Canis lupus familiaris: one gene and its partners. The protein of the gene in region 4 purifies or fractionates together with the protein of the main gene of each other region. This does not show direct contact. Links are inferred from orthologs where the notes say so. Each region holds a gene or a part of one and is shown on either strand. Other genes may lie near its edges. The genes, in order: WDCP, DKC1, C10H12orf45, RUVBL1, tubulin alpha-1A chain, ZNHIT6 and DPCD.

What was found.
Region 1: the proteins of RUVBL1 (region 4) and WDCP purify together in Homo sapiens (affinity purification with mass spectrometry; 6 studies listed by BioGRID and IntAct, counting the BioPlex papers as one, with this or other methods). This does not show direct contact. The link is inferred for Canis lupus familiaris from reciprocal best matches to the Homo sapiens genes RUVBL1 and WDCP.
Region 2: the proteins of RUVBL1 (region 4) and DKC1 purify together in Homo sapiens (affinity purification with mass spectrometry; 4 studies listed by BioGRID and IntAct, counting the BioPlex papers as one, with this or other methods). This does not show direct contact. The link is inferred for Canis lupus familiaris from reciprocal best matches to the Homo sapiens genes RUVBL1 and DKC1.
Region 3: the proteins of RUVBL1 (region 4) and C10H12orf45 purify together in Homo sapiens (affinity purification with mass spectrometry; 4 studies listed by BioGRID and IntAct, counting the BioPlex papers as one, with this or other methods). This does not show direct contact. The link is inferred for Canis lupus familiaris from reciprocal best matches to the Homo sapiens genes RUVBL1 and NOPCHAP1.
Region 5: the proteins of RUVBL1 (region 4) and tubulin alpha-1A chain purify together in Homo sapiens (affinity purification with western blotting; 3 studies listed by BioGRID and IntAct, with this or other methods). This does not show direct contact. The link is inferred for Canis lupus familiaris from reciprocal best matches to the Homo sapiens genes RUVBL1 and TUBA1A.
Region 6: the proteins of RUVBL1 (region 4) and ZNHIT6 purify together in Homo sapiens (co-immunoprecipitation; 3 studies listed by BioGRID and IntAct, counting the BioPlex papers as one, with this or other methods). This does not show direct contact. The link is inferred for Canis lupus familiaris from reciprocal best matches to the Homo sapiens genes RUVBL1 and ZNHIT6.
Region 7: the proteins of RUVBL1 (region 4) and DPCD purify together in Homo sapiens (affinity purification with mass spectrometry; 6 studies listed by BioGRID and IntAct, counting the BioPlex papers as one, with this or other methods). This does not show direct contact. The link is inferred for Canis lupus familiaris from reciprocal best matches to the Homo sapiens genes RUVBL1 and DPCD.

What each region holds. Positions count from the first base shown.
Region 1 is NC_049238.1:18,592,666-18,596,759, forward strand, and holds the start of WDCP (WD repeat and coiled-coil-containing protein), read right to left. Parts: upstream 2,801-4,094; 5' UTR 2,308-2,800; coding exon 2,126-2,307; intron 1,857-2,125; exon of another isoform or gene 1,703-1,856; intron 1,627-1,702; exon of another isoform or gene 1,501-1,626; intron 1-1,500. Other genes in the region: peptidyl-prolyl cis-trans isomerase FKBP1B, read left to right, coding at 3,416-3,452.
Region 2 is NC_049260.1:123,939,308-123,941,920, forward strand, and holds the end of DKC1 (H/ACA ribonucleoprotein complex subunit DKC1), read left to right. Parts: intron 1-17; coding exon 18-126; intron 127-884; coding exon 885-1,004; intron 1,005-1,273; coding exon 1,274-1,339; 3' UTR 1,340-2,113; downstream 2,114-2,613.
Region 3 is NC_049231.1:34,426,757-34,429,200, reverse strand, and holds part of C10H12orf45 (uncharacterized protein C12orf45 homolog), read left to right. Parts: intron 1-43; coding exon 44-180; intron 181-2,059; coding exon 2,060-2,287; 3' UTR 2,288-2,444. UniProt on the Homo sapiens protein: Client-loading PAQosome/R2TP complex cofactor that selects NOP58 to promote box C/D small nucleolar ribonucleoprotein (snoRNP) assembly. Acts as a bridge between NOP58 and the R2TP complex via RUVBL1:RUVBL2.
Region 4 is NC_049241.1:2,139,297-2,142,796, reverse strand, and holds part of RUVBL1 (ruvB-like 1), read left to right. Parts: intron 1-1,419; coding exon 1,420-1,483; intron 1,484-3,080; coding exon 3,081-3,279; intron 3,280-3,500. UniProt on the Homo sapiens protein: Possesses single-stranded DNA-stimulated ATPase and ATP-dependent DNA helicase (3' to 5') activity; hexamerization is thought to be critical for ATP hydrolysis and adjacent subunits in the ring-like structure contribute to the ATPase activity.
Region 5 is NC_049248.1:41,239,328-41,243,409, reverse strand, and holds the start of tubulin alpha-1A chain, read left to right. Parts: upstream 1-1,282; 5' UTR 1,283-1,380; coding exon 1,381-1,383; exon of another isoform or gene 1,384-2,234; intron 2,235-3,492; coding exon 3,493-3,715; intron 3,716-3,855; coding exon 3,856-4,004; intron 4,005-4,082. UniProt on the Homo sapiens protein: Tubulin is the major constituent of microtubules, a cylinder consisting of laterally associated linear protofilaments composed of alpha- and beta-tubulin heterodimers.
Region 6 is NC_049227.1:62,877,369-62,881,457, forward strand, and holds the start of ZNHIT6 (box C/D snoRNA protein 1), read left to right. Parts: upstream 1-1,289; coding exon 1,290-1,939; intron 1,940-3,085; coding exon 3,086-3,151; intron 3,152-3,235; coding exon 3,236-3,342; intron 3,343-3,422; coding exon 3,423-3,508; intron 3,509-4,089. UniProt on the Homo sapiens protein: Required for box C/D snoRNAs accumulation involved in snoRNA processing, snoRNA transport to the nucleolus and ribosome biogenesis.
Region 7 is NC_049249.1:14,386,540-14,390,640, forward strand, and holds the start of DPCD (protein DPCD), read left to right. Parts: upstream 1-1,301; 5' UTR 1,302-1,381; coding exon 1,382-1,445; intron 1,446-4,101. Other genes in the region: POLL (DNA polymerase lambda), read right to left, coding at 247-361. UniProt on the Homo sapiens protein: May play a role in the formation or function of ciliated cells.

The DNA of each region.
Region 1 (4,094 bases), on a different chromosome or scaffold from region 4:
TCATGTGGGCAGCCCTGGTGGCTCAGTGGTTTAGTGCCTGCCTTTGGCCCAGGGCCTGATTCTGAAGACCCGGGATTGAGTCCCACGTCAGGCTCCCTGCATGGAGCCTGCTTCTCCCTCTGCCTGTGTCTCTGCCTCTCTCTCTCTCTGTGTGTCTCTCATGAATAAATAAGTAAAAATCTAAAAAAAAAAAAAAAAAAAAAAAAGATCTGCTTCATCTAAGATGTCTATAGGGTAGCAATGTACCTTAGGCAGTCAGAGGTTAAGGGTTTGGAAGTCACTGTCATAATGTAGGTAATTAAAACCAAAGCAGTGGACACCCTGGCTGTGAAAGATCAGAGCCAAGAGAACAAAAGTTGAAATAGCCTTCAGACGTTCCCCAATTATTCTGTATATTAAAAAATATTTAAATTCTCCCTGATGCTAACTGTATCCTTGTGACTATAAGATTTCAGGGAGTTTTAGGGAAAGAAAAGTTCACTGTTTTATTACTTCAGGGAAGAGAAGGCCAGAACCAGGACCTGGTACTCAGCCTATGGCCATTTAATTCTTGTTTTCAAGACAACTCAGGTGAGAATCAAGGCGCTTAGGCGAACTGGACCACTTCCAGTAGGTTTTTTTTTTTTTTTTTTTTTTTTTAAGATTTATTTGTTTGTTTGTTTGTTCATATTCAGGCAGAGGGAGAAGCAGGCTCCATGCAGGGAGCCCGATGCCGGATTCGACCCCGGGACCCCAGGATCACGCCCTGGGCCAAAGGCAGCGCTAACCGCTGAGCCACCCAGGGGTCCCCCTCCAGTAGGTTTAAACAGAGTTACACAACCTCCAACTTGTTTTTCTGTTTATTGTGTTTCCACTATAAAATAATTTCAAGTGCTTTACACTTTTTTTCTTTTTAGTCAACACAGGAGAAAGGCAAAAAGGTAAATTCCTAAAAAAGCATATTCATCCAACGGAAAAAAAAAAAAATCCCTCTGGGACTTTTTTTCTATGGAAAATGATTACATTTTCCAACCATACTGTCCAATCTCACATCACGATTTTTTCCACTTATATATTAGCGTTTTCCCATGCCATTTAAATTCTATAAATATTTTTAGAAGCCACTTAATCATATTCACTCCGCGAAGGCGCATACTTTTTCCTCACTGTGGAGACACCTGGTTCTGAGGCTTTAAAGCCAACTTTACCTTCTTGTACGTGACGCTGTGATAAGGCTCTTTATGCATAAAGCACGTTCTTCACCCCGGGTGGCTGCCCCGGGACATAGTCCCAGAAGTGTCACTAGCGAGTCACGTGGAACACATTCAAACCCTCAGCCCCTCCCCCCTCGCGGTCCGCCGCCCGGGCCCCCCGCGCGCCTCCTCCTCCCTTTCTCCCCATCCTCTCGGCACACCTGGGCCCAGCCCACTCCCCAGCAAGCGCCGGCCCCTCCACCTCCCTCCGGGCCCACCCTCAGCCTCCCGACACCAGGTAAGCTGGGCAGCTGCGGAGACAAAATACCTTCGGGATTACTGCCCACAGAAAATAAGACTCCCGGGTGCCGCGGGATCCCGAGCCCGGAGCGAATACCGGAAGCACCGGCCCCCAGGCTCCTGATAGGACAGCGGTAGCCGGGCAAGTCCCACAATGCCCTCTGTCTATTGGCTCTTACTTGTGTCACGTTAGGGGAGGGTCCTTCCCTTTGACCAATAAGCTCGGGCTTCGCTGCATGGATCTCTGGGAGTAGTAGTTTCTGTGAAACTCCATCTACAGTAAACCAGCCACACATTCGCCCTCCCTGAAGGGGAGAGCCTTCCCCCACTTCTCCTCGATTTTCTGAGTCTAAGAAAGAGTACAGGATTCCTAGAGTCTACACGGTTTCTTAACTTTTCTTCGGGGGGGGCGGGCGGGGAAGGGGGTCAGGAGGTGGGATGGTATCACTTCTTTAAAATGTGATAAAAATCTCCCCCCCCCCAGAAAAATGTACTTATCCCTATCCTAAATATTGTGCATTCAACTGAAGCTGCTCCATGGACCTATCCGAGTTACAAACCCCTGTCCTACACTTTCCCCAAGAGTGCCTCCCCATGGACCATAGTCCAAGGAAGGACCCGGTGCATCACTAGATTTTAGACTAGCTGCATACCTGGGAGACTCTGGGCCACGCCGTGAAGCAGTCCATGGGGAATTTCGGATGCTGACCCTCATAGTACAGTTGGCCATCATCTTTCTTGAACAAAACAGCCAGTGCTCCTTCAGTGATGCTGATATCCTCAAGTCTGACCTAACCATCTGGGAGCCTTGGGGGTGGGGGTGGAAGAAGAACATTTCTAGGGTCCACTCTGGGTGCCTTTGCTCAGGCTTTTCTCCTCGTGCCTATATTCCAGTGCCACTGGTCAGAACCATGCTTTCACGTCGATTTTTAGAACAATGCAGGGAAAGATGAGAGAAAAAGAGAGGGGAAAAAATAAAGTTCCATTCATTCTTCAAGCAAATGTCATCTCCTCCAAAGATGTTTTTCTAGATTCCTGGAACTCTTTTGGGTGGAGGTGAAGGGTCTAGCGTGGAAGAGGAGCTCAAGGTATAATTTATTCATTCATCCCACAGCACGAATCACTCCACGCTGTAACTAACTCTCCCCGTCCCCGCCCGTCACAAAATTTCATTCTTTGACGACAGCGATTCTGCTTTAATTAAATTGGTATCCTCAGGGCTCTGTTCTTTGCCTTGAAGGTGGGCATCTACCTGTGAGTGCTGGAGAACTACGCGGGACGGCGACCAGGGGTTTAGGGAGATCGCAGTGGGGTAATGGCCGGTGCCCTCCCCCCCGCCCCCTCCCCCCGCCCGCGCGCACCCCCAGGCTGCTCCTACAGTCCGGCAGCCGAGCCAGGGCGAGTACCCTAACGGGTGCTGCCCTAACGTTCTGGACTCCAGGGCAGTGAGCGCATCTATTTAAAGTGTTGGTTTAGTTGCTGGCTTTCGCCTAGTCGGTGGGACCGGGTTGACTCCCCAGAGCTTAGCACAGAGTAGATGCTAGATAAATCTGTGATGAGCGGATGCATAGAGGGGTGGCTGCACCGGCGGGTGCGTAGATGCGCGGGGGTCTCTGCCTCCCCCTCCGTCCCCCCCCACCCCCGTGAACGACGGTCGGCCCGGCCAGGCCCGGGAGCCGCGGCGCCGGGGTCCCTTCCCCGGGCCCCGCCCCAGCCGACCCCACCTTTCCGCGCCGCCCCGCTCCGCCCCGCCGCCCCCTTCCCCGTGGCCCCTCCCCGCGCAGGTCCCGACTCCCGCCGCACCTCCTCCGGCTCTGCAGTGGCGGCGGGGAGGCGAGCCGGAGCGCCAGCGGGGCCGGGGCCGGGGCCGGAGCCGGAGCCGCAGCCGAGCCGGGGTCGGGGCAGCAGCCGGGACCCTCAGAGGCGGGGCCAGTGGGACTGCGATGGGCGTGGAGATCGAGACCATCTCCCCGGGAGACGGTACCGGGCGGCGGAGCCGGGGGAGGAGGAAGGGTCCCGGGGCGGAGCCGGGCGGGCGGGGGTCTGGGTCGGAGGTGGCGCGGAGGGTGAGGACGCGGGGGCGGGCGCAGGGTGGGGCGGCGGGGGAGACCCCAGACTGCACTGTCGGAGCTCTGGCCGACGACCCTCCGCCCCCCTCCCCGCGCCGGCTCACCTAGGGCGTCGGAGGCGGCGGCCGCAGGCGGGGGTCTGGGCCCGCCACCGCCCCGGGGGCCTCGGGCGCCGCCGCCGCCGCGGGAGCCCCTCAGTTGTCTGCCGCTGCTAATTTCCCAGGGCAGGGGTTTGGCTCTGCTCTCCCTGCCCTGCTAGGTGAGCTCCGGGGACCGCTGGAAGGGTTCCCTTCTTGGGGCAACCCGTTTCCAACGCGCCCCCCTGAGGGCCTCGGCTCCCGCGGCCCCCGTGGGCTGGGCGGGGAGACGTTGTGGGGGGACCGAGCCCGTCTGCGAGGAAGAAGCGCTCCCTCCGCCGCCTCTGCATCCTGCTTTATCCTCCCCGCCCCACTCCGCCTCTCCAGCCATCCTGTACACTCCCATGGCTTTCATTACCGTCTGCAAACCGATGGCCTCCAAACTTAAGCCTCCAGCCCAGATCTCCGACCCATTT
Region 2 (2,613 bases), on a different chromosome or scaffold from region 4:
TCCTACCTCTCTTGCAGCGACTCTGCAAAGAAAGAGGTGGTAGCCAAGGCAGGAACAGCCGCACAGGAAGTCACCGAGGTAGTAAAGTCCCCCAAAGTGGCTGCCGAAGTGGTGAAAGCCCCGAAGGTAGGTGGCATGCTGCAAGCGCTGCGCCCTGTGCCCGGCGGAGGGGGGGTGTCCGCTGGTCCTGAGCGTGATTGCACACCAGGCCCGTGTTGTGGCCCCACGCAGCCCGCTCCCCACCCCCGCACAGCGGAGACCATGCTGTGCCAGGCGTCGGGGTGCCCGTCGGTGCTGAGCGGGTTCCAGGGGGCGTTCCCTGCTGTGGCTGCCAGGAGCGCTACGGGCTCAGCTCACATTGGCCTCGGCTCCCACCTCAGCTGAGGCAGCAGTGCTGGAGCGCAGAGGGGTCCATGGGCTCCTGGCCCCACCCTGGGTCAGATGGTGGCACAGCTGTGTGGAAATCCACTGTGCGAAGCTCGGGGGGCAGAATCACCTGAGGCTGACCACCTCTAGGCAGCACGGGATCGGTGTTGGGAAGTTGGAGGACAGTAGGCAGTAGTACCTCGACTTCTCAGGGTTGGGGACCCGCGGCTTGAGAGTACAGCGTGGGTGCAGGGAGCGAGCTGGGAGGCGCTGCTGGCTGCCCCCTGGGGCCCCCGGCCCTGCTGCTCCGGTGCTCCTGCTGGGCCCGTGGCTTCCCGGTCTTTGGGGCGGAGGTTGTTTGAATCCTCTGCAGATGAAGGCTCTCTTGGGGGTCGTAATGAGGAAATGATCGTGTTGGGTTGAGTCGGGAAGTCCTCTGGCGCTTCCCGTGTTCTTACTGGACGTTTCTTCCCCACTTTGCCCACGATCTCACATTTGATCACTTGTCTGCACCTTAGCGGAAGCGAGACAGTGAGAGCGATGAGCTGTCTCCACAGCTGCTCAAGAAGGAGAAGAAGAAGAAGAAGAAGGAGAAGGCCAAAGCTGCCGCGGAGGGCGCGAGTGAGCCCGCAGATGGGGTATGTGGGGAACGTGGTTGGGAGGCCCGCGCTTGCTTAGCCGGAAGGGGCAGGGGGCAGCGTTTGCTGGCAGCCGCTCGTGCTGCAGACTGTTGATGGCGGGGCGCGTCTGAGTGGCGTCTCTTGCGGACTGTCTAAGAGGGGACATTGGGGCCTCCCTGAGAAGGTCCGAATATCCTCACTGGTCCGGAGGCGGCTTTATGGGGCCTTTGGAAGTCGAGCCGATTGGGTTGTTAACGGACGCACTGAGGCTGCCCTCTCTCTCCCAGGACAGTGACAGCGCCAGGAAGAAGAAGAAGAAGAAGAAAATAAAAGCGGAGGTGGTTTCGGAGTAGTGGACGCCAGCGCAGGCACGGTGCCCGGTCGGGAGGAGACATTAAAGCCTTACTGAGAAAACGTAACTCTTTTGTTCTTGAGGGAATGGAACGCAGGTCCCAGGAAGCTCGGAGAGTTCAGCGCTTCGCAGCTGCTCCCTGAGAACTCGGGGACGAGACCCGGCGTGCTCCCCCCACCCTGTCCTGTTCTAAGGATGTGGGTGCAGGAGGCAGGCTCGATGCCGCCCGCTGCGCTTCTCGGGAGAGCTGGGAGTCCCCTCCCTCAGATCCAGGGTGGCCCAGGAACGTCTGCGGGCGGCGCCCGGTGGCTGTCGCGACATCTAGCCCTCTCCTGCTTTGCACCCCCCCCAACTCATTTTAAAAGTCTCCACACGTGGCCCAGTGACCCGATGTGGAGCAAGGAAAAGAACTGAATCCTGTTGGTCACTTGGGGGATCAATCTTTTGTCCCGTGTCCTAGGAGGACAGTGGTCTTTTCTGGTGTCAGAGCCATCTCTGCCCCCCCGTGTGTGTCCCTGTCACAGGCAGGCCATCCCGTCAGCTCTGTCCAGCCCCCCGCCCCTCCCCGGCTTTAGCGGCCCTTTGTGCCCCTTCAGAGCCTGCGTGGACAGCCTCACGCACTTGAGTCCATCTGCCTACTTGTGTTTGTGACAGAAGCTAGGAAACTATTCCAGACTCTCTCTTTTAACCCTCTTTTACTTTCAAAGGATGAAATTACTTCTTGCTGGGAGAAGGTTGTACTTTTTACTTAATAAAGTCTACTTGTTTTTAAGTATTTCTGTTGGGTCTTTTATCGCAGATGTAAAACTAGCAAAACAAAAAATATAAACTAGTTTGATTAAAAATCTAGGGGACTTTATGTCCAATTTGGAACACAGGGCTAGTTCATTGCTTCCTTTTCTTTCCCTGGTTCTGAGTTGCCCCATTCATTCTGGGGCCCGTTCCCTGGCATGGAACTGAGTGAGGGCTCTGGAATCTTCGCTGAGGACATGGACTAGATGAAAGGGGGAACCCTCACAGTGATGTCCTAGACATGGGAAGAGGAGAGGAATGGGGCTGGCAGGAGGTGCCCCCCCCATGCATGGGCTGGGGTCCCTCCCTGCAGCGAGGTGAGGCCCGAACTTGAGGCTCAGTGTGCGCCTGAGGGTCTCGCGGGGACTAGAGCTCCGGGAGCCGCGGTGGGGGGGGCGCTGGGGCCCCAAGTGCGTAGCAGCCCAGCAGCTCCGCGGGGGCAAGGAAGCGGGGTGTCTCCCTCTGCAGGCTGTGGGCAGCGGG
Region 3 (2,444 bases), on a different chromosome or scaffold from region 4:
AAGACTGACATAAATATTGATAAAGTATATTTTCTTTCCTTAGTGTTGGACCAAGTGCAGACCTTTCTCCCACAGATAGCTCAGGCAAATGAAAAGCTGAGAAAAGAAATGGCAGCTGCATCACCTGGTCGTTTCAATATTGAGGATATTGATGGGGCTCTTGGAAAAGTTATACAAATGGTAATGATGCTTTGTTTTCATTTCATAGGGTAAAATTACCAGTATGCCTCATCATCTTTAAGAGAGAGGACTTTTCCAGTATAATTCCAAGCGTTATTTTTTCCTTCTTGCAGAGTCCGCTCATATTTCCAGTACTGCATGGGGATCTGATCATTTTATGATCAGGGATCTTACAGATCAGTAAGCTTCCCTGAGTGGAGTTTAGGAGTGTAGCAATAGAGAATAGGAGGGCTTTTTCAAGTCAAATAGTACATTTGTTATCTTGAAGCATTAATTTACTAAGTGTTCCAAGTGGGTTGTTTTTTCCTAAAAGAAGTAATCATAACCTGATTCATGGAAAGTATAAAAATAAATGATGCACTTAACAGACTGATTACCTGAGCCACATGCAAAGTCTTCTTCATGTAGCCTCATTTCCTTTTCTACACCAGAGTTCCCTGTATAACACTTGCGTCTGGACAGAGCTGACAGCATGCTTGATAGTAACATCTCATTCATCAGCAGCTCTGGCCTACTCTACCTCCAGAATTTATCCAGATCCAGCTACTCTGTACCGTGTCCCCTGCTGCCACCCTTGGTCCATGTCATCATGGTCTCCTCTGGACTGCTGCAGTGATTTCTCAACAGGTTCCCCTGCTTCGGCCTTTTCTTTCCTATGATCTGTTCTTCACACTATGTGTGGCCTACCCTTCCCATCACACTCCTCATGAGTTCAGAGTCCCTCAAGGGCCCATGGGATCCTGCCTCTAGCTCCATCTGATTTACCTCCCACCTCTTTCCTGTACTCCCGTTCAGTCTCCTTGCTCCAGGTCTTGTCCGTCTTTGTACAAGTCTCTTCCCAGATTTCTGCATCTTCACTCCCTCCCTCTCTTACTAGTGGTCACCCCAGTGGCCCTATTAGAAGCTTATCCTATCGTGCTTTACTTTTCTTCATTTTAACTTGTCCTACACTATACTTTATATGTAGTTTTTCATTATCTTTTTTTCCTGACTAGAACAGAGGTCAGCAAGTATTTTGTATCTGAGGCCAGCTAGTACATACTTTAGGCTTGTCGGCCATACTGTCTCTGTTGTGACTGCTCATTTCTGCCATGTTAGCATGAAAGCAGCTGTAGACGATATGTTTGAATAGGCAGGTTTTATTGACTTACCATATCATTTTCATGGTTCACGAAATATTATCCCTTTGATTTTTTTTTTTCCTGCCACTTAAAAATTTTAAAAAACACTCTTAGGGCACCTGGTTTGCTCAGTGGTTGAGCGTCTGCCTTTGGCTCAGGGCGTGTTCCTGGGGTCCCAGGATTGAGTCCCACACCAGGCTCCCCGCAGAGAGCCTGCCTCTCCCTCTGCCTGTGCCTCTGCCTCTCTTTCTGTGTTTCTCATGAATAAATAAATACAATCTTTTAAAAAATAAAATAAATAAATAAACAAACAAACAAACATTCTTAGGTCACAAGCTAAACAAAAACAGATACTGGGCTGGGTTTGGCCTGCAAGCTGTAATTTGCCAATCCGTCTCAAAAATATCAGTGCCACAAAGGCAGGGATTTTGTTGCTGTTCTGGTGGAGTCTCTAAAACCTAGTGTGGTGCCTGGCTCATGTTAGTATTTGTTAATATTTGTTGGATGCATATTGTTGAATGTGTTCAGGTTGTATAGAATTGGGTTGTGGGGGACTTTTTAGACTTGTAGTACCTGTAAACCATCATGGTGGGGGGTGGCAACTGAAAGAAAAAAAAAGGCCATATTGTATTAAAAACATTTCTTGCCCTTTGTGCTTTGATATTTGTCCTTAATGTTGTGGGTTCTTCCCAAGGTGGTTTTTGCAACTTTCTAGGGGACTACCATGAAATGAATTTCTCACGTGGTGCTTTTGGCAGGATGTGGCCTTGTTTGAGATGAATCAATCCAATTCCAAAGAAGAGGACAGTTCAGAAGAGAGTTTACAAGACAGCTCGGAGGACAGCTCAGAATCTGAGGAGGAAGATGATAGCACCGCTTCTGAAGTCACCATAGATAACATTAAGCTTCCTCATTCAGAAGATGGAAAAGGCAAGATTGAGGTTTTGGACAGCCCATCCAGTAAAAAAATAGAAATAGTAAAATAAATGGTCTCAGAAACAGGTGATGTATGCCTGCTTGTTCTGCAGAAAAAGAATAATGGCTTGCTGGTTGTTTTGCATTTCAGATATCTGTGGTGCTTTTATGTATCATTAGATGTATTTTGTTTCTCAGAGAAACAAAAGCTACCTTTTAAAGAGCTGG
Region 4 (3,500 bases):
CCTTTGCAGGATTTCAGAAAGCCCGACAAAGCTGTGCCTTTCCCCCTGTTCTAGCAAACTCTTTAGTGTTTTAGCTTTGAGCAGGATTTGTGTCTGTTCCTCATGCTGGCAAGATGAAAACTTAACACCTTGACTAGTAAAATGTGGGAGAAGAACAGTATGACTATGTGACACCTCTGCAAAATGTGTGATTTTAAAACCCTAGTCTTCCCTGCTGGTAGTCTTTCAGTTTGATTTCCTCTTCATCCTGGAAGAGTCCTCCTCTTTACTAGCAGGGAATAGGCTTTCTTACTTGAAATTCGATCCTTGGGTGTTTTGCCCCTTCGAGCATTGGCCAAGACATTGCTGAAGAACTGTCTTGGACCAGCAGGTCCCTCTGTGTGGAACAGCTGTCCCCAAAGCAGCCTCCTGGGAGCTTTCGCCTTGGTTGGAGTGTTTGGCTGAGAGTTGGAAGTCGGGGATTGTGTCATTCCGACACTGATGAGCTTGGTCCATTAGTTGCTTTGCCTCCCTGAGTTTTCTGTGATTTAGGGCTCTTTGGCTTCGAGTTTCCTTCTCTGTGAAGAGGGCAAATAGTGCCTACCCTGTAGGATCAGATGTAGTTTCTCAGGAAACATCTGCTACATTTTACAACTAAACATTTAGTGAGCACCTCTGTGACCCAGCACCTGGCAAAACAGGATCACAAAATGCTAGGCAGGTGACAAAAGAGCACCTCTTCTTGCTGACTGCACTGGGAAGGGCTGGCAGGAGGGTGCAGCAGGTGGTGAGCCTGTTAGCAGCCTGCTGTTCTGTAGGATTGGCTTCCCCGACCAAGCAGCTCTAGACCAGGATGGGATTAATGTGACTGTGCAGTCGAGTCTGGAGACAGGAGATGCAGGAACAGAGATAAGTACGTCCTTACACTTCCCTCAACAGTCCATTCGTCCCCAAGGGAACTGGAGCATCAGCAGAGTGAAGGGCCAGATGCCCCATGAGGGTGTTTGACTTGAACTTGGATGGATAACTAGAGATTCCTGGAAAAGACACCGTGCTTCCTGGCAGGTGGACTAGAATATGCAAAAGCATTGAATCATAAAAGAACATGGGTGTTCAGAGAAGAGTACGGTCCTATGTGGCTACTCAGGGAATACAGGATCGGCAAAGGATATGGCTGAAGAAGGAGATTGGGGTAGGCCCCACAGAACTGGTACTTCCCACGAAGGGATTGTGCTCATTCTTGCAGTCCAAGGGGAACCTCTTAAAACTTCCTCCGTGTTGAGAGTTCCTCACGTTTTCCAGTGAGGGTGCCTGGGGTCTCCACACCTAGGACCCCGTGTCCAGCTGATAGTAAGAACAGTGTGATGGGGGTGGTGGTAGTGAGACTTTTGCAGCTGCCTTAGAAAGTTGGACTGACTCTGGGAATCTTTTGTTTTGCAGGGAGGGCAAGACATCCTGTCCATGATGGGCCAGTTAATGAAGCCAAAGAAGACAGAAATCACAGGTAAGAGAAATAGGCCTGTGAGCAAGAACCAGAACCCTAGAGCCCTGGATTCTGATGTACTGTGTGAGGCTTTTTTTTTTTTTTTTTTTAAGATTTTATTTATTCATGAGAGACACACACAGAGAGAGAGGAGGGGCAGAGACACAGGCAGGCCTCATGCTGGGAACCTGATGTGGGACCCGATCCCGGGTCTCCAGGATCACACCTGGGCTGAAGGCAGTGCTAAACTGTTGAGCCACCCAGGCTGCCGTGTGTGAGGCTTTTTGAGTGAATCCCCAGACCTGAGGAAATGCCTTAGGACAGGTTCGTTCTCCTTTTCAGAGCCTGGCTTTATCCTGGCAGTCGGTGGCTGTTTTAGACAGCTGTAAATAAAGCATACTGTGTGCTTCCAGCCCAGAGTGCTAGTGCATCCTCTTGAATGCATTCAGTATCCTTGCACTCATCTTTGAAGATGGAGGCTGCCAAAACCTCTGGTCCTTTCGAGGTCCAAGAAACATGGATGGTATTGCCCTAGCTGTGCAGGAGAACTCCCGCCAGACTGCTCCTGAGCACAGCAAATTCCACCACCTTGGTACTTGGCCTTCTTGCCCTACAGCCGCAAAGCAGCTCCCAGCCTGCCTGGCTCAGCTTCCTGGGCATGTCCCAGAGCTTGGCAGGAATGTCGCTGTTCCCTTGTGGACCTTTAGTTTACCCTGCTTCTCTTCCCAACTGGTACATCCCTCTTTTTTTCTAAGTATTACCTATAATTCTGTCACCTTAAAATGTTAAACATTAAAGCCTCTGTTTTTTGTTTCATGTTAGCCAGTGGAGTGATCTGAGACCTGTCTAGTAGAGTCTCCAAGAGCAGTTTCTGTGTTTTCACAGTTTTAACCATGAGTTCTCTTTTGACCATCCCTGCCTCATGAGTTTAGTGGACAATGCAGCATCAGATCTTCGTGTTCTGTGTTTGCGAGCAGCTCCCCCCTGATGCTAATCAGGAGCTGGTTTGGAAAATGAGAACTGTGACCTTAGATGGTCTTATGTAACTCTTGTGAGACCCGTCCCTCTAGAACTCTGAGGTTGGACCTTTCCTCAGAACCTGCATTCCTCACAGTTTTCCTTCCAGAGAAGATTCTGCACACACCCTGTTCTTCATCTAGGCACTTGATTGAAAGTTAATTAACCTAAGCTTTGTCACATAGGGCCAAAAGAAAGGGTCACTTAGCGCAGAACAGGAAAATTTGCATATGAAAACTCATTTCACACAGGGCTCCTCAACTTCTGTGTCTCTGCGATGTCACAGGGCACTAAATGGGTTGGTGTGAGTAATAAGGCAGCTGGGGAGTGTGCCCTTGTGAAGACATGCAAAACTATAAAAGCCACTTACAAACTTAACATATCAGCAGGGGAAGCTACCGGTTGTGTGACTTCTATGTGGTGATTATATTCCTATTTCCGGATGATAACACTGAAGTGGGGACATAACCTGCCTGGGTCGTATAGTTAGCAGTACAAGTGGGCTCCACACTTGAGTTAGGATCATATTCGGTTGGGGGAGAGAAGAAAAGGGGACCACTTCCCCACCTGACTATACTTGTCTCCTCTCACTATCTCCTAGACAAACTTCGAGGGGAGATTAACAAGGTGGTGAATAAGTACATTGATCAAGGCATTGCTGAGCTGGTTCCAGGTGTACTCTTTGTTGATGAGGTCCACATGCTGGACATAGAGTGCTTCACCTACCTGCACCGGGCCCTGGAATCTTCCATCGCCCCCATCGTCATCTTTGCATCCAACCGAGGCAACTGTGTCATCAGGTAGGGTGGCTCTTTGCCAGCCTTAAGGCCTTTCCACCTTCCATCTGGGTTCATGTTTTCCTCTGGGATCACTTTTTTTTTTTTTAAATTTTTATTTATTTATGATAGTCACATACAGAGAGAGAGAGAGAGGCAGAGACACAGGCAGAGGGAGAAGCAGGTTCCATGCACCGGGAGCCCGACGTGGGATTCGATCGCGGGTCTCCAGGATCGCGCCCTGG
Region 5 (4,082 bases), on a different chromosome or scaffold from region 4:
AGCCTTTCTAAATAGCAAAAGAATGTTACTGCAATCCATTTCCTAGGGCTGAAAGCAAAGCCTTTTTGTCCCAAGAGGCAATTGAGCAACCACCACAGTCTCTAGTTGAATAGCAACGGTGTGAGGCTGTCTACAATTCCCACAGTTAGAAGTCCAATCTCTGAGAAGATTTACTGAATTCACACAAGAACTACATAAAAAAAGAAATGCAGTTATCGAGCTGACAAACTTGTCTGTGGATGGAGACAAAATTATAAAATGTCTTCTTTCTTACATTATACAGCTCTCCTTTTAAATTTGATGTCTTAGTTATTCTCTTCCTTTCCAGAAAAAGGGCGGGGGGCGGGGAGAACAATGCCGAGAATAACTGCATGCACAGGTACTAGAACTAGTTTCTGAACTCCTTGTATTTTCTCAATTCTGTTATCAGGAAAGATGATTCATCTTAAGGAATAATACACTACATAAAATATAGTAATCACACAGACTTCTGGTAAAAGAGTATTTCTAGTAGACTATTTAACTACAGTAGGTTTCTTAGATCTTAATTATCACCGTGTTAGAACTACTTGTGTGCTTCCATATTTAGTATGGTTTTCTTCCATCCTCCCTTTTGTTTAGCTATTTGGGGGAGGGGTGCAAAAGAAGGTCTGAAGATAAATTACTTGAACCTCAAAAGCCATTTTGGATGGCTCTATTACTGAACCTTCTTTTTATATTAAAAAAAAAAATCACATGCACCCAAGCCTTTTTAAGCATCATTCCCATCTTTTCTCCTACTTTATCTATAAAGCAATTAGAGACGTTGAAGCCTCACCGAATGTGGTAGAACTTAGTATATTTTGAGAGAGGAGCTGGGAGTAATTTTCCATCAAATATTTCATGTGAACACAAATTCTGCGATCTAAGTGTTGGAGAAAAAAAAAAAAACCTACACTGGTGATTTTAACTGTAAGTGTGAGGTTTAAGCAATAGCAAAATCATCCAATTCAAGTTTTCTTTCTTCTTTTCTCCACCCGCCCCCCAACCCCACCCCATCATGGATGCTCGGCTGACTGTTTTTGCACAGTCTCTTTGTCTGGAGGATGCAAACAGTCTATGGATGCTAGGGAAAAAGGGGTGGGGGAGAGATTACCTCATCCCATGTTGCTTGCACCAATCACCACTCTCCTGTCGTGACTTCTCCGGGCAGATTGAGGGGGTCTGGACCAACAGGAAAAGGCCCCAGCCCATCCCCATGGTGACCGAGTTGTATATAGGGAGCCGCATCCGCCCATGTGCCGCAGGTTCTCTTACATCGACCGCCTAAGAGTCGCGCTGTAAGAAGCAACAACCTCTCCTCTTCTCCGCCATCCGCCCGGCAGCCGCCAAGCAGCAACCATGGTAAGAATCTTCCTTCTCTGGCTCTTTGTGGCCCTTGGGTGGGGTCAGTCCCCCAAGATCTGCTGGGAAAACCTGAAGCCCTCTTTCCTTCTTTCCTTTACAGCTTCTTTGGGTAAGGGTCAGCCTTTATGCTTTGTTTGCGAGGTGTAGCTTCGCTGCCCCAAATCCTCGAGCCCGGCCGCCGCCGCAGCGCGGGGTGCGGGTGCGGGTGCGGGTGCGGGAGCGCAGCCAGGACTGCGCCCGGGGCGCAGCAGAACCGTGGGGAAGAACAAAGGCGGCGCCGAGCGAGTCCTTGTTATCTGAGCCCTTCCGAGCCGCGAGCAGCCCGTCTGTCGGTGACGACAGGATCTGGGGCAGGGAAAGGCGGCCCCGGTGTATGTGTGGCTCGGACAGGCTTTTCTTCCTGGCGCTGGTCCCAGGGGGAGGGCGAGAAGAGGTCCCCCAGCCCCGGGCGCGGCGGGTGCAGTTGGGCAGGGGGAGGGGGAGAGGAGCGGGACAAAGCGCAGCCCCGGGCTAGAGGAAGAAGATCGCTCCGGGGTCGGTGGCGTTCTAGGGAGATACCCGCGTCTGCACGGGGGAAAATGGCTAGTTTCTGCTGGAACCCCGGGCAGCCGGCGTCGGGGCGGCGCAGGGGCGGAGTTGTTTGTTTCTGGCTTCTCCGGCCTTGGAGCCGCGGGGCGGGGTTCGCTCGTCCTCTCTAAGCCTCCTCTGTCGGAGACTTTTATTAAAAGCCTTTCATCGTTGTGGAACTGTAGGCGTTAAAAGGTTTTTCATTCACTGTTAAAACGTAGATGAAATATTTCTTTCTTGAGATGCAAAATCACAGTTCTCTTCACAAGCCCTTTAAAGTCTGGTCTGGGGCGACCCCGCCCTGACTGGAGTGAGTGTGTGTGTGTGTGTGTGTGTGTGTGTGTGTATGTGTCTGTCTGTCTGTCTGTGTGCTAGCCGCACGGCACGTCCAGCAAGAGAAAAAGCTCACTTTGAGAGCCAGGGTACCCTACTGCCCAGGACCCAGGGAAACGCCCTTCCCCACCCCACCCCCCCGCCCCCAACCCCCGCCCAAATGTCAGTGAATAGACAATGGCTAGACAATGGAAGCTGTAGCCATAAAGACTATAGGGAAGAAAATCTCTTATTCAACGTGATGAGTAGAAATATTCTGTGGTGAGTAGAGAATCTCAGAATGAAAATACTATTTTATTATTTTAAATAAATATTTCATTATCCTTGCACTGAGCTTTTATTCTTAGGTAGGTCCTCTGATACTTTTCTAATTTAGGAACTATTGTTTTAAAGATTCTAATAATTTTTCAGGGTTTTTTTTTTTATTTTGCAGTGGAGAAGATTCTGGAAGGACATCTTTTTAAGTAATGAAAATGCTGCAGACAAAGAACTATGTACTCTCTGTTCAGCTGTCTTTTGTTCTAGTGAATCTACATTAATTCATTTCAGTTTAGGCATATGGTCCCAGCCCGGGTCACAGAAGGAAAACTGGCTAATAGCACAATGAGATCATGTAGGCAGTTTCTGGAAATAGAACTTACTCTGTTAAATAATGTAGCAGACAGAATAGGCTAGTACCAGGCACAGCAAATGCAGCAATGCAGCAGTGCAGGAGGCAGACCTTGTTAGCTTCCAATCCCCTAGTACTAATGGATTCTGCAGATACACTGCAAAGGGGTGTGGCATCTAGCTTCAGCTGCAGCACAGATGTCCATGTTAAAATACCAAGTCATATGTAGAAGAAACTCTTATTTAAAGGGGCAAGAATAGTAATATTGATTCCAACTAATTAATGATTAAATTTAATTTGCTTCATTTTACAAAATCCGTGCTTTAAATATTTTTAAATAAAAAAATTATATTTAAGCATGACTGGAAACAATGGGCTTGCACATGTGCGAAACAGTGCAACATTATTATTCAGACCACACCCATCTGCAGCATTTGTAGCAGGTGCTTTCCTTAATCATTTCTATTGAATTAGGGATAATCTCAACTAAACCTGAAGAATACCTGTATATTATTAGAAATATTTTCAAAAATTAACTAAAAATTCAAAATGCTACCACAACCTAATTTACAATTTTCCTCTTTTCCTTCCCATAGCGTGAGTGTATCTCGATCCACGTTGGCCAGGCAGGTGTCCAGATCGGCAATGCCTGCTGGGAGCTCTATTGCCTGGAACACGGCATTCAGCCCGATGGCCAGATGCCAAGTGACAAGACCATTGGGGGAGGAGATGACTCCTTCAACACCTTCTTCAGTGAGACGGGCGCTGGCAAGCATGTGCCCAGGGCAGTGTTTGTAGACCTGGAGCCCACAGTCATTGGTGAGTTGGCCTCAGTAACCCAAGTGAGCTCCCGGGGCACTGGGACAGGAGGTCTGTCTGAGGCTCCACTGACAGCCTGGGGCTGAGCAGGGTCATGCAGGTTGTTAGTGATGGGTGGCCACCTTGTTTTCCTTTTCCAGATGAAGTTCGCACTGGCACCTACCGCCAGCTCTTCCACCCTGAGCAGCTCATCACAGGCAAGGAAGATGCTGCCAATAACTATGCCCGAGGGCACTACACCATTGGCAAGGAGATCATTGACCTTGTCTTGGACCGAATTCGGAAACTGGTATGTTTATTCTCAAGAATAAAGTAAATAAGGATCTGAAGGAAGACATTTGAGATACGATGTTTTGTTTTGTTTTGT
Region 6 (4,089 bases), on a different chromosome or scaffold from region 4:
CAAAGCAGCCTACAGCTGAGAAGCCATTTCTCTGAAGTCTCCTTTATGCAGCAAGAAAAATACATCTCCTATGAAGTCTCCTTACAGGTGAGAAAATACCTCACAGACATGATGTGAAGATCAGGTGAAAGTGCCTAAGGCCCAGTATGTGATAATAATAACCTAGAAAAGTAACTGAAACAGATAAATGTGTGGGTTTTGTTTTTTGCATTTTGGGGCATATTTTTTAGGCCTATTCCTGGGGATTGAACTTTTGGCTCAGTCTTTAAATCCCTAAATATGTTCTCTTAAAGAAGAATCCAGCAGGATTCTGGAAATGGGAAACTGGCTGTTACTGATGGCGCTGAAAGAATAAAAGTTAATTCCCTTTTTTCCTGTCTGAAACCTTTCAGGACTCCCTGTAACAACAGCCACCTTATAATGGAGTTTATTTCAATAACTACTGGCTTATTTGCATGCACGATTCCATTGAATCTTCACAGGAACGCCAAGTTGTGGAATTCCATCCTGTCTAGTGTACAGGCGAAGAATGAAGCCTAGATGCGTGGCATCAAGTGTTTTTGTTTGTTTGTTTGTTTGTTTGTTTTCTTTCTTTCAAGTGTTTCTTCCATTGTCATACAGGAGTGACGGGGCCCAGGGGCAGCGCTGGTGGCGCAGCGGTTTAGCGCCGCCTGCAGCCCAGGGCGTGACCCCGGGGTTTCGGGATCGAGTCCCCGTCGGGCTCCCTGCATGGAGCCTGCTTCTCCCTCTGCCTGTGTCTCTGCTCCTCTCTCTGTGTCTCATAAATAAATAAATAAATAAATAAAACCTTTAAAAAAGAGAGAAAAAAGAGTAACGGTGCCTAGAGACCTGGCGAGGTCCTCCGAGGCCCGCGCGGTCAGAGCCCTGCTGCCCGCCCCTCCCTCCCTCTCTACCGAGGAGCGTGGCCGCGCACGGGTTGGGGGCGGGGAAAGCGGGCGGACACCGCCCCCCCGGGGGATGGGTAGAGCGAAGCCCCGCCCCGGAAGTGGCTCTCAGTGGGCGTGGCCTCACGCCGATTCTCTCGGAGCCTCTGGGCCCGACTGCTGCAGGGCCGTAAAGGGCTCTCCGAGTCGTAAAGTGGCGAGGCGCGGCAGCGTTGCTCTACGACTACTTGGAACGAGAGCGGCAGGCCGGCGTTCGCAGCTTGGCGATTTTCGGCGCCGCACGTGGGTGACCGTCGGTGTTCGGGCCCGGAATTCGTTCCTTTTGGCGTGGACAAGCCACACTGAAGGACAGAGTGGCCGCGGAGACCGGGGGGTCGTGGGCTGATGGATATTGCTGTTGAAGATGAGGGGACTTTGGGAGGAGGTCTGCAGAGTGGAGCTGAGGGGGCGCGGCTGAGGCTGGCGTCCGACCGGGAGAGAGTCGGGGGCACCGCAGTGACGGAAGTTGGCAGCGTGGGAGCGGGGAACGGACTGGCAGGAGTGGAGAAGGCGGAGGACGGGGAAAGGAGTGGCCAGAAGGCCGAGGAGATGCGAGTGGACCTAACGGTTGTGAAGCAAGAAGTTCTGGATTGGTCGGAAATGGAAGAAGGCCGGTGGGTAAAGCAGGAGGCGGAGGACGCGCCTGAGGTGAAGGAGGAGAAACCAGGCGTATCGGAGGTGAAGCAGGAGATGGATGGGAGTTTTGAGGTGAAAGAAGAGAAGGGGAGTGAGGCAGAGGTAAAAGAAGAGAAAGTGAAGGTGAAGGAAGAGATGATGGACTGGCTAGATGTGAAGGAAGAGAAGAAAGGTAATTTGGAGATAAAAGAGGAAGCCTTTGTTACTCAGAACATAAAAAAGGAGGAAATGATGGATGAAGTGAATGTAAAGGAAGAGAAGTATCTCCCAAAGGAAGAAGTGATGGATGATGCGAAGGTGAAAGAGGAGCCTCGGGTAAATCCCCCAGCGGGTTTCAAACGGAAACTGGCCATGTCCAGGTAGGACAGGGAGAGATTCATTGGGAAAATAGAGGTGTGGAGTCCTCTGTTGTCTGGGATGAAGGAAATCGAGCAGCCGGGTGTCAAATAATGAACAATAAATGCCATCTTGGGTCTCTGGAGCCAACGTGTTGGTGGTGGAGGTGGGGGGGGGGAGGGGAAGGGTTTTGTCAGAGAACAACACATTCAGTGAAAATACGTCAGGCGGTAAGTGGCCAGTGCACAATGGCCAAGTCAGAAAATTCTGGGGACTAGAAAACTCTTGGACCAGATTCTGGTTTGACTTAATATGCTCTTGACTCAATATTCTTTAAAAGAGGATAGGCATAAAGAAAGTCTGCTAAACTAACAGGGATACCGTGGATCGTTAAAATCAGAAATGCACTTGAACTCCCCCAGCTGTCTACTTCCTCTGTGGATACTGTGAATGTTCATTGCTTTATAGTTAATCTCCTTTACTTTGTGATCATGTGACAGCATAGGAAATAGAAGAGTGGTCACATTCTTGGGACTCTTCCTGTCTAGAACAGACTGGGCCAAAAAGAAATGGCTGTAGTTTGGTTGTCAGTCCTAAGCTCCTAGAAGAGCAATTGGAGACAGATGATGGGTAAGAGAACTTCCAGATTATTTTAGTGCTCATTTCAGGTTGGGTGTGGAGATGAGAAGAGAGGCCGCTGATACTATGTATTTAACCTGGTCTCCTACTTTTTTGTGGTGTGTGTGCCTTTAAGGTATTTGAATTCACGGATTGGACCTCTGGTTATGTGCGCACGTGTGCACACGTACAAACACAATCATTAACGGACTGCCAGGAATCACAAGTTAAAATAGTAGTGAGCAATCTCATTCTGTGATCGCAATAGCAAAAGAAGTCAAAAGCGAGATTTAAAACTTATTACATGTTTTCTTGGATTATGTAGTACTAACAATATTGTAAATGTCGTTTGGAGACAGTTTCCTAGAGCAGAATTTTCTAAGGATGTTTGACAACTATCAAGTATTTTATCAGAGTTACTTGCATATACCTTCTTCACTGACTACATGTCTTTAAATTGTTGGTGATGAGTAATTGACTCAGCGTTAAAGATTATAGATAAAAGAGTAGAATTAATATTTGATAATTTATTTCCTTGTGGGCTTTTGTAGGTGTGAAACTTGTGGTACAGAAGAAGCCAAGTACAAATGTCCACGTTGTATGCGATATTCCTGCAGGTATATATGTAATTTCCTACCTTACTACCCATGTCTGTACCCATCGTACCTCAGTATAAAAGTACCTCCTCTTTGTCTCTTCAGTTTGCCCTGTGTGAAGAAACACAAAGCAGAACTGACATGTAATGGAGTTCGAGATAAGACTGCATATGTTTCCATACAACAGTTTACTGAAATGAATCTCCTAAGTGGTAAGTCATCTTAGGGATAGCGGATTGATCTTCCTGGCCACTGGAATATGTCATTTATTTTTCTATTTTGAAATTTTTAGATTATCGGTTTTTGGAAGATGTGGCAAGAACAGCAGACCACATTTCTAGAGATGCTTTTTTAAAAAGACCAATAAGCAATAAACACGTAAGTATTTATTTTTTCCATCACTTCCAGTTAAAATTCTTTTTATCAGTTAGATTCATTTTTTTTTTTTTTTCACCGAATATGTGGTGAGCAGCTACTGTGATCCAGAGCTATTCCAGTTACTAGGGTACATCAGTGACCAAAACAAATTTCTTCTCATGGAGCCTGTATTGTGTGGGGAAAGACAGGAGATGAGTAGAGGAACAAAGATAATTTCAGATAGAGTTTAGTGCATGTGGGAAATAAAGCAAGCACAGGAGATTAAAGAAAATTAAAATGGTGTTTTTTGGGAGGAGATTATGAGTATCTTCAATACAGTAGTCAGGAGAAGTTTCTCTGAGAGATGACATTTAAGCAATGATCTGAATGAGAGGCAGCCATGTGAACCTTTGGAGGAAGACTGTTCTAGGTAGTGACAAAAACAGAAGTAAAGACTGTGTTAAGAGTAAGGTTGGTGTGTTTGAGGATTAAAATGGGGACATGGTGACTGAAGCATAATTGCGTAAAGAGAAGAATATTCAACATGAGGTTAGAGAAACTGGTGAGGACTCCTAACGTATTCTGAGTGAAAATGGAAGCCA
Region 7 (4,101 bases), on a different chromosome or scaffold from region 4:
GCTGGTCATTTCCTTAGGGGCCAGAGAGTATTTTCTGATTAACAGAGGTCTAGGGATGGGTTAGAAAATAACACAGCCAAGTGGCCTGGCAAAGACTGGGGCCCAAGCCTGGTACAACAGATACACAAACCAACCTGCAGGCCATGGGTTGGCAGAAATCAGCTCTACTATCTGATTCTAGTCATGAACAATATAGGAAGCCTAGGGGTTCAAGTACATGAGGGCTCTGAGGGTGGATCTGCTCACCTCTTTCTTCTTCTCCACCTTCTTGCTTGGGAATCTTTGCAAGTGCTTTTGATGATGGATTGGCATGAATTTTCCTCCTTTTGGGAAATGCCTTCAAGATGCCCCCAGGGTCCATTGGGGTATTGGCCAAATCACGGCCTTTCAGTTTTAGGTTTGATCGGGCCAACTGTCATGTGGAAACCCAGAACTGAGGTTACCCAACCCTTTGCCTATGGAGGTGCTGTCTCTAACAACCGGACTTTGGAGGCAGTACCTCAGTTCCCCTAGGGGTCTCCCAAAACCCAGCTGAGCTTCAGCAATTTAGCCTAGCACTTACCAGCCTTTCAAAGTCAGAATACTGGGGGATATAAAGGGAAGAATGGGACTATTGAGGAACTCTGGAGGGGTACAAAATGATACTCCTCAGATGGTTGCTCTAAAGAGTCAGTGTAGTGTCTGCTCTGCAGCATCCCACTTTGAAAGGGCTTTACCAAAAGGGGATGCCAGGCTAGGAAATGGAGCTACATCTTTAGAAAGGGCTTGGGCTCCCAAGAGGATTGACGGACTTAGATGAATCTGCATTTAAATCCCACATGATCTTCCTCTACCCCATCACAGGCCCGCAGAGGAAACCCTCGGGGTGAGGGTGTCCGGGGGGCGGGGGAACGCCCTACACCTGCCCTGGTGGTGGGCCTCTAGTTCGGGGGAGCTCAGCCCCGCAGCTGCGGGGAGACGGGGCATGGCCACAGCAGGTGTTAGGGCGCCTTCCGAGGCTGGGGGGAGTCTCGGCCTCACAGCTGGGGGTGGAGACGACCCGCAGCTGTGGGGTCCCCGCCGCGTCCCCAGCTGGCGCGCACCCAGGGACTCCCAGCTGGGGGCCAGAGGAGGGCTGGAGGGTCTGGACCCTGCCCTAAGGACCGCTCCCCCCGCCGCGATTGGGTCCGCGGTGGTCGGACCCCGCGGCTCACCCGCGAGCCGGCCGGAGTAAACCACTTACCAGAGCAGCCAATGAGAGCGGACGAAGGGCGTGGCGGGTGGGAAAAGGGTGGGGGGAGGGAGGCCAAATGCCCGGAACACCTTCCGGGTCGGCCGGAAGTGACCGTAGGCGGAATGGTTGCCATGGCAGCGGCCGGTCGCGCGGCTGGCTGGAGGGAAGATGGCGGTAACCGGCTGGTTGGAGTGTCTGCGGACCGCCGAGAAGACGGCGCTGCTGCAGGACGGTAACTCGAGGCCCCCCACGAACTCCCTAGTCCTTTCCCCCAGGGCCCAGCCCTTCGGACTGGGGCCTCCGCGAAGGGCCTTCGAGCCTGGGACGGCCGAGCTGAAAGGGCCGCGGCTGCCAGACGAGGCCCGGTCCTGCTTTGGCAGATGAGGAAACTGAGGCCCAGAGCGATGACGTGACTGGAACACGCGCCTCTGGACACCTCCTAGTTCCCTCTACACCACTTCGCCCCGCTCTGAGTTCTGTTACTAATAAAAACTCCTTTCATATTCGTTATGTTATTTGCTCCAGACAGCTGTCCCAAGCAGCTCTTTAATTTCCACCCCATTTTACGGGAAGAGGAAACTGAAATTGAAGAGGGTTTTAGACCAGCCCTAGCCCGTTGTCCACTCGGTAGGGTTCTGTTGCTGAATGCAGCCTGGTGTCATTGAAGAGGTGGGGAGACCTGGGCCCTAGTTACTACTCTGCCATTAAATCACAGCTTCTTTATTTGCTTGGGCCTTATTTTCCTCGTCTGTAAAATGAGCTGGATGGGCAATCTCTGATGTCCTTTCCAGCTGTCATATGTTTGTAAGTGAACTTCTAAATATTCCCTGGGATCTATAGGGAAAAACAGCAAGGGCCCCAGCGCTGTGCCTGGGAAAGGTGGGCATAGGGGTAAGGAGTCCTGATTTTGTCTCACTCTAGGATTGGCGGGTGTAGGACCCCCCATTGCCGCAGAAGTCCTTTCCTGGACGCACTTGGCAGCCAGATGAATTAGGTCTAAATTCATGTAGCTTGAGGATACCAGCTGGAAGCACACATCCATCCATCCACCGGAGGAGGCCAATCAGGGAAGCTTGGAAATTAATATCACCTGCTCATTTGCTCGTTCATTCACGCAGCATTTAGGGAGGCTTTTACTATGTGCTAGGTTGTGTATTAGAGCAGAGAATGAAAAAAAGATATGTAAATAAATGTGTGTTAAGTAGACGTTGGGATTTTCTGTAAAGTGTATGAGAGCACGAAGATGGAAATGATCATCTCTTTGAAAGAAGACCTGACAGAAGAGGTAAAGTTTATGGGTCCTAAGGAATTAATGTGTTTGCTAAGTGTAGAAGAGGAGATGGCTGTTCTAGAAGGAATGACTCACATGTAAAAAAAAAAAAAAAAAAAAAAAAGGGCATGGAGGTGTGAAAGTATATGGCTGATTACTAGGGGAAAACAAAACATTTAGTGAGGCTGAAACAGTAACAGTCACCTAGCCATAACCCCCCACACTGTCAGGTACCAGGTGCTAGGATGCAAGGTGAATAAAAGTTCTCTTTTCTCAAGGAGCAGTGAGGAGAAATGGTGGGAAATGAAGGATTTTAAATAAATTGGGTATGTTGTGATAGACCTTTTATGCCAAGCTAAAGATTTTGGACATTATTTTCATAGGACAGTGGTGTCTGGTTTTATTATAAGAAATAGATAATATAGAATTTACCATTTTAATGATACAGTTCTGTGGCATGAAGTATATTCATATTGTTGTGCAACCATCACCACCATCCATCTCCAGCACTGGATCTCTTCAACTGAAACTCTGTACCTGTTAACACTAATTCCCCCATTCCCAGCCTCTGGCAACTACCATTCCACTTTCTGTCTTTATGGAATTGATTATAGCAGGAACCTCATGTAAGTGGAGACATACAATATTTGTCCTTTTGTGACTGGCATATTTCACTTAGCAACCACTTATTTCAACGCCCATCTATGTTGCATGTATCAAAGCTAAATAACATTCCACTGTATGTATGCATATGCCACATTGTATTTATCCATTCATCTGTTGATGGACAGATGCTTCCACTTGTTTAGCTATTGTGAGTAGTACTGGACTGAACATGGGGGTACAAGTATTCGAGTTCTTGCTTTCACTTCCTTTGGTCACAGGACAGTTCTTAACAAATATTACATCATCTAGGATTTTGTTAGGTTTTTTTGTTAGTAGCATCCACAACAATGCTGTTGGTCTTTTTTTCCCCCAAGTCAAATAATAATAATTAATGTTAAGTATATGGATTGGATACATCTTGTCAAACCTCTCCTATAGATTTACTTTCCTGTTGGGTATGTGGAGAATATTACCTCCCTCTCACAAAAAAAATCACTGCTATTGGTAGTGAGAACCCAATACTCTTGAATTTTTTTTCAGGAAGAATTGATGCTCATTATGGAAATATGAAAAATAACTAAAGTCACCTATCAACTACCATCTAGAGATAATCATAATTTACATTTTTTAAAAGATTTTATTTATTAGAGAGTGAGCAAGACTGGCAGAGGCAGAGGGAGAAGCAGACTCCCTGCTGAGCAGAGCGCCAGATGTGGGGCTCAATCCCAGGATCCTGGAATCATGACCTGAGCCAAAGGCAGATGTTCAACAAACTGAGCCACCTAGGCACCACCATAATTTACATTTTCATGCATAAACTTTCATATTTCTTCATGCATGTACAGTCATATATATATTTTTTTACCAAAGTATACTAATAAAATTATGTGTGTGTATATATATATACACACACATACACATATATAGCTATAAAGTAAATATGTGATAGAATAAAATACAGATAATTACAACTCCTGGGTAGTAACCACAAAAGAAAAACCAGTTGACTGTA